3 linked regions of the Kluyveromyces lactis genome follow. The protein of the gene in region 3 binds, or shares a complex with, the protein of the main gene of each other region. Links are inferred from orthologs where the notes say so. Each region holds a gene or a part of one and is shown on either strand. Other genes may lie near its edges. The genes, in order: GON7, PCC1 and CGI121.

What was found.
Region 1: CGI121 (region 3) and GON7 share a complex: the UniProt entries of both Saccharomyces cerevisiae proteins name them as parts of the EKC/KEOPS complex. The link is inferred for Kluyveromyces lactis from reciprocal best matches to the Saccharomyces cerevisiae genes CGI121 and GON7.
Region 2: CGI121 (region 3) and PCC1 share a complex: the UniProt entries of both Saccharomyces cerevisiae proteins name them as parts of the EKC/KEOPS complex. The link is inferred for Kluyveromyces lactis from reciprocal best matches to the Saccharomyces cerevisiae genes CGI121 and PCC1.

The regions. Positions count from the first base shown.
Region 1 is NC_006037.1:564,630-567,085, reverse strand, and holds GON7 (chromatin DNA-binding EKC/KEOPS complex subunit GON7), read right to left. Parts: upstream 911-2,456; coding exon 551-910; downstream 1-550. Other genes in the region: FEN2 (Fen2p), read right to left, coding at 1-306; RIM1 (Rim1p), read right to left, coding at 1,267-1,659. UniProt on the Saccharomyces cerevisiae protein: Component of the EKC/KEOPS complex that is required for the formation of a threonylcarbamoyl group on adenosine at position 37 (t(6)A37) in tRNAs that read codons beginning with adenine.
Region 2 is NC_006037.1:48,906-51,219, forward strand, and holds PCC1 (chromatin DNA-binding EKC/KEOPS complex subunit PCC1), read right to left. Parts: upstream 870-2,314; coding exon 835-869; intron 757-834; coding exon 528-756; downstream 1-527. Other genes in the region: KLLA0_A00550g (uncharacterized protein), read left to right, coding at 1,194-2,314. UniProt on the Saccharomyces cerevisiae protein: Component of the EKC/KEOPS complex that is required for the formation of a threonylcarbamoyl group on adenosine at position 37 (t(6)A37) in tRNAs that read codons beginning with adenine.
Region 3 is NC_006039.1:1,297,970-1,300,402, forward strand, and holds CGI121 (Cgi121p), read right to left. Parts: upstream 995-2,433; coding exon 521-994; downstream 1-520. Other genes in the region: TFIIH/NER complex subunit TFB3, read left to right, coding at 1-329; LFT1 (Lft1p), read left to right, coding at 1,243-2,307; KLLA0_C14916g (uncharacterized protein), read right to left, coding at 2,351-2,433. UniProt on the Saccharomyces cerevisiae protein: Component of the EKC/KEOPS complex that is required for the formation of a threonylcarbamoyl group on adenosine at position 37 (t(6)A37) in tRNAs that read codons beginning with adenine.

The sequences.
Region 1 (2,456 bases), on a different chromosome or scaffold from region 3:
GCACTGCCATACGGAATCAATGCTGAACATTGACAATGTCAGAATACCCCAAGCAAAAGTGCAGAAACTCAACCAAATCCGAGGTTTGATTCTCAATAGAATCAAATTATGAGGGATCATACCTAACAAATATCCAACGGTGAAACACGTATTAGCGATATTGAACTGATTTGACTTGAACCCGAGATCCTCTTTCATACCGGAAACATAAGCATTGGTGAAACCGATTCTATCCACATAGTTGATCCAATATTGCAAGCAGACAAAAGAAAGAACGGTCAAATCGACCCGAAATAGCTTGCCCATGGCGTGATTACACTTTGATGTTATTCAGCTGTCCTTCTAGGACTCTTGGCGGTGTATACCAGTACCTATTTCTCTCTGAAGAGATGTCACAATCTGTTGACTCACCAACTTTAAGATGATCAAAAAACCGGAACGATATAGTACAATTTGATGACACTATTTATATACAAACAGATAATAAGTACGTATAAATACCATTCAACACTCAAACGACAGAATTCGAAGCTCTCGATCTGCAGAATCTTCAGGTTTCTTCAGAACCATCCAATAGATCGTTTATCTCTTGTTCTTGCTTGCTGTTACGAGGTTTTTTCACGTGATTGATCTTCTCAGTCAAATACTCATTGATATCGTCTTGTAATCCGGTCAATTGCATCCGCAGTTGCGAAAGCGTGGTATATTGATCGATTCCTGTCTTACTATTGACGTTATCAACCTTCTTTGGGTCACTAGGTTTATCGACGTCTTGATGCCCTTGTTTCAATACATAATCTGAAGCACCAGTAGTTCTTCCCTCCGTAGTCTGGTACCTGGGGTCAGAAGGATCGACTTCGAATTCATGAGTTGATTTGGGTCCGGTATATGTAGCGTGTGGTAAAGACATTGGTTGATCCTTGTGTTCGATACCCTTTTTTATCTTTTTAATACCTTGTTGATGAGATGAGATGATGATTTAACATTAGAAATCTTGACAATATGATAAATAAGAAATGCTATTCATCAGAACATGTCCTGTGACACAATGGGGGAAAAAAAAAGGCATACTAGTAGAAGTAAAGGCTGGGAGTGAGATTCGAGATGTCCTTGATAGAACTTATTAGATAAAAACAGTATTTATACGTAATTACTAAGAGACAGAGAGAGTATATAGAGGTAGTCAAAAAAATACTCCATGTGGAATAATACATTATTAGCAGCCGAGAGAAAACAACACGAATTGGTTAACAGATCACAGCATTCTTAAGCTTGTTGTTCTTCTTCAGTTTCAGGTGCCTTTGGGTTCTTCAACAAGTTGATATCCCTTTGAACCAAACTCAAACTTTGGCCCCTGGAACCATCTTCTCTTTCGAAAGTATAGTTAGAAGCATCAGCTTCGATGTAAACCAAAGCACCTTTCTTGACGTATTGTGTCATGAAATTGATGTGGTTAGTGTTGAAAACAGTGACATTGAACCAGTTTGTGTTGCTGTCCTTTCTTGGCTGAGAAGCAATGGAGTATTTCAAGTAACGAGTATCGTTAGCAGTAGTAAACTCTTGGTATTCGCTACCAATACGGCCGATAATGGACATCTTGGCAAAATCATTGGTGCGGGCAGTGGCCGAAAAGGCACGGCGTTGGGCTAATCTGAACATTGGGTGTTTAATTGTTTAATGATAATGATAATTTATCACTGGGCTGGGAAGTATAACTGTATTTTCACACGTATTCTTCTCATACTAATTCAGTCTTGATATTTGTTAAGGTAATTTATAAAACCGAATTATATCAAATGTCTTTATAAACAAAAATGTATATGAACGGAGAGTAAGAAATGGCACATTTACAATAAGAAAGAACATGCAGATGCGGGAAAAGAGAAACCGTGGCAATGTTTCGCATTGCAAATGGAGATTCTAGTTTCTCTTGTGACAAATTAGATATCAGAGGCGTATATTGTAATGTTTATGCTGTCATGAAACGAGTGCATTTGCTGGTATTTACGTTTATCGCGTCTTTACCAGTAAGAAACTCTTCGAGTTATCACCATTGTTATCCGGGTAATTGAAGCATGTGATAATCACGTGCCTTGTATTCTATTGTCATTACCCGGTTTTGAGTCAATGTTTCCAACATGAAATGCCCCTCGTTGGCTTTGTCTTTCCCCTGTCATCTCGTTCTTTTAAAGGCCTGGTATCTATGCCTGACTCAAATAACAAACTTGACTATCTTCGTTACAGATTGACTTGAGTGCGTTCATTCTAACCCGTGGTTTACTCTAGATATTCTGAGTACTGATATATAAACGAGTACGTTCACAGGAACAATCTCTGTGGGTCTATTACTGGTAAATTGTGGAGTGTGTGATAACGATATTATTTAACGCAGTTTAAGTTCAAGTACAAATTCAAATCAATAATATATAGACCAGAACCGGTCTTATAAAGGTTAT
Region 2 (2,314 bases), on a different chromosome or scaffold from region 3:
ATTTGTGTAAGATTTAAAAAATTGATAGTAAGGCATATGTATATATACATTAATAAGTTGGCTTGGAAACGGAAGGGGAAAGGAAAAGTTCTACGACCGGTTTGTATCTGTTTGCCAAACCTTTACATATTACCTCAATCATTTTTCTTTTCTTCGTCTGAAAGCTGGTGATGTACTCTGCGTGTCTCCACAACTCGAAATGGTAACGACATCTCACATGACGACGGTCTTCTTTGATTCTAATGCATGGATACGAATTGTCGCTAATCAGTACGATGCTTTATTGTAGAACTTGGCTATAGACTTAGGGATTTCATGACACTGTTGGTAAATATTGCTAGGCTTGATCCTTAACTTTTTTCTTCACTTTCGTTCCTGCATAATATGAATAACGAATGCAATGACACAAATTGTTCTGCGTTTAGTTTTTCTGCCTTAAGAAATTTCATAGTACCATAGGTTAGAAAGTAATAGAAAGATGGGAAGATGATGAAAAGGCACCCCGAACGTGTACTGTTCTGTTTGCATTAGCACAACTCATCAATAGTTTCTACGATTGTCTTGATTGATTCAATGACACTGTTCACACCTACACGTAAAATACGCTCGTCAACGCTTTCAAAATCACATATAAGTTTGGTGTCTTGCGTAGAATAAGTAACTTGGAAATCCTCTGGTTTCATGATGGGGTCTGGAAGCAGCACTTTCCTTGCTACATCAGCTTGTTTAATGCTTTCAAATGGTATTTCCAAATGTCTGTACGGCATTTTACATCACAACTTGTTAGTATTTCAAGTTATAAACTTGCATTCATAAGAGCCAGAAATAACATACAAAGAGTGCTCGAAAGACGTGTCTCCTTTATTCATCTTAAAAGAGTACTATTTATCCGCTGATTGAACTCACTACTGCAGCAAGTTTCAAGTGTGTATCATTCATAAAGATCTCAAAGTCAATAAGTTCATCCTGAACATGAACCACACACAGTACGGATGCGTTTTTCGAAGACTTTTTTGATTTCTAATTGGGTAAAAATAACAGAACATCAAGTTTGAAGGTAGTTTAGATCAAGCATGGATTTAAGTCTTTAATATCTGACTTACTATCAAAATGCCCGTCCTGGTACCAGGTGCGAAGATAATTTATTATCAGCTAAGGATTGGCAGGCCGATCTTCAAGGATAAAATTTTCTCATGGCCAGAATGCCTGACGAGTCTAACGTAACTAAACAAGAATTAGGGATATATAACGGTGTCTCATTTACAATTGTCACAAAGCTTTTAGCAGAAGGTGCTAAATCGTACCAACTTGGTTCGAAACTCTTAGATGATGAGAAGCTTCTCGCTAATAAGAAATTTGAATATTCGGGGGAACTGCTCATCGTAGATTCGGTGTTTTCAGGATCTGGCCGGGATAAAGACTGCGATTTCGCCACGAACGTCATAGCACAATTCTTTGAGCAGGTTATTGTCCCTTACCGCCTAATAAAAACTACATCCAAGTCATCTGTCATAGAACTGGCCTCGAGCATTGACAGCACTAGACAGTACACTGTTCTCTTTCTTTCTGGTGATACATCGATATCAGAATTCGTTAATAACCTGCCCTTGAACCACGACTGTATTTCAGTGCTTCCATTCCCAATGGGTACAGGAAATGCATGGGCAAGCTCTTTGAAGTTGATGGATCCAGCTGTCATATTCTCACAATTTGTCAATGGTAAGTTGTCCTGCAACGATTTCCCGTTGTATAGGGCAACTTTTGACAACGGTTATGTCCTTAAATTCTTCATAATTTTGTCACTGGGATTTCATGCAAATTTACTTCATCTCTGCGAAGAAGATGAGTACCAGAAAATGGGCATTGAAAGGTTTAGAGTTGCTAGCCAGCGAATTTTAAGAGAATACAAGCTCGAATCTCGCGTCTCTATTCCCGATATTCTGGAAGGATCTTTTAGTTATTTTGCGTTAATAAATACCACAAATCTGGAGCCAACTTATATGCCATCTCCCGATTCTGATCCATTGGAATCACAACTACATGTATTGGCATACCAGTCTTCTCTGGATAGAGTAGAATTCCAGAAAAGGGTATTTATGGGTTATTCAAATACGAAGCATTCAAACATCTTACAGAATGGAACGTTTTACAGACCACTGCCATTTTGTTTTAACGTCGAAGTACTAGACGATCCGTCACAAAAGAGCAACTTTGAAGTTTGCTGTGATGGGCAACTTCTTAACTTACTAGAGTTAGAGGGAAAGAATACTCCACCATCCACGATAAGAATTGAGACTTGTACGGAGCCATCATT
Region 3 (2,433 bases):
AGACTGTCAAGCTAAAGAAATCCTCTGCCAGAAGGAAGCTCGAAGAATTAAATAAAGTGTTAAGAAACAATCCTTACATGACAATGACAAATGGTAGAATGAAGAAGAAAGATACTGTACCGTTCACACCATTCAATGGGGACAGGGATTTACACAAAAGATACGAATTGGTTGAAAACGAGTATAATGATTCTTTCATCAGAGACTTACAAAAGAAGAAGGAATATATAGCCTCAGGATTCAGGGCGGACTTCATTTATGATAGAATGTTAACAGAGGCATTCATGGGTCTTGGTTGTATCATTAGCGAAGAATTACAATCCTCTTAGTTGTATCGCGTTGACGGCAAGTGTTGATAACTCTTCGTTTGATACATCTCCTACTTTATTCAATTTGTAATTCTACCGAAAAAAAAAACACATAGTACAATGGTAAAGAGCTCGGTAGCTCTTTATCCTCATCATAATCATATAGCATTTAGGTTAGTAATCTATTCATTATTAAGAGTCTTCTCATTTGTTCATAACTTATCACAAGGAATACATACCGTTTTGATAATTTCTTTATCGGCAGATGTAGAAAACTCATCATCCGAGACTGGAACTAGGTCCCCATCAACGGAAGCATTGCCATCATAGGGTTCTTCATTACTGTCTTCAATGATTTTGATCACAATTATATCAGTTGTTCCTTCCTTTATACCAAATCTGTTCAATGCATCGCCAATGTTCGAACTAGGAGATAGTGATAAAATGCATTCAGAATGGATAGTTCTTGTCCGCATTCTATTGTACTCTGTTTCCAAAATAGCCTTATAGATGGCACTCGACAATTGTTCAACGGATATCACAGTTTTGGAGTCGATGTATGCAAAAGGTAATTCAGCCAATTTGGATCGTAGCTCAGAAGAATTGGTAACATTGTTATACTTCTGAACATGAATAGTATACTCCTGAAACTGAGGAATCTTGTACTTCAAAACTATTCCAGCCATTTGTCTTGTGATGAGCTCTTGGAACTTCTTGGATGCAAGTCGCCTACTATCGGTCCTTCTTTTAACTTCACTTTCTGATTATCTGTACTGTTACTGACTTACTATTTAAATCTTTCAAATCAATCCGAGTAGTTTCTAGCGTAGAAAGATTGATAGAAAACCATGAGTACACAAACTTTACAAAAGGTTCAGAACAAGAAAACACAATAAGTGATCACTTTGCTATATCAACGGTATATGTACTGTCAATGGAGCTTCCAGACGAGGAAAACGTTTGGGATAGTGTTTTTGAGGAAAGGCAGTTGAGCGAAGTAGTACGGGATCAAGGACCAAATGATCTCGAACGACCAGCAGCGCATAAAGAACCAATTGCTACCGAACAACCACTGGGGAATAAGCTTGAGAATCAGAAAGATGATGATGATGACGAATATATTAGAAAAGTTCGTACAGCTGTAGAACAATTCGAAAAGGCAGGCTTCTTCGAGGATTTAGACGATACTAAAAAGGGTTCAAAAACAAAAGCCATGGTATATAAGCTAGCAGACGAGGTGATAGCCCGACATAAAGACAAACTCTTACGCATAAGAGACCCAAATTATGATAAGTGGTCTGAACCATTAAAAACCCCCATGATAGATAAATATCATGAAATCAAAGAAGAATGGAGACGTGAGGAAACGAACCACGGTTCCAGTAGTTTAAACAACAGTTCAATGACTACACAGAATGTTACATTTGCATGGAGTTCAAATGCTCATCGACCGGAGCTGACCGCACCAAAGAAGCCTTTGGAACCGCATTCCAATAAGAAATCAACAAATGAAATACTACGGAGTAAAGCAATGAAAAGCGCTCATGAATTAAGAAGTAAGCAAATTCTGCTCAATAAACTGCGGGATAAAAATGATAGAAACAATCTGCCTTCACAGGATGGTGATGATGTCAAGCCGAAATTTAAAATGGATCCCTTGGAACCATTTGTCGCCAAAGCTTTACCGAGAGAGAAGAAGAAGCGACCAAAGGAGAAAAGGAAGAGCAAATTTTGGTTTTGGGGATCCCTTACCCATCATACTGACGAAGGAAACCACAGAGACAAAGCTAGGTCGCCAGAGCTTGAAGATTATAAAATTGGTGTTGTATCACCGAATTCGCGGTCCCCCACGTTATCGATTCCTTTCTCTGATCCCGATAACACTCAGACTATTACCAATAACGCAGTATCGGACAACATTAACCATCACCTGTCGCTAATAGACCTCGACGATGACGAGGAACACTTAAAGTGTTCAACGCCACCGTTAATACTGTGATACGTACTTTTTTTAGGCCTAATATATTTATTTCTCATCCTATTTAAATATCATCTACATTAGCACTGTAACTATATACCTTTTTTTGAGCCGGCGTTATTATAACTTGTTCTCTGCGTACCGGGG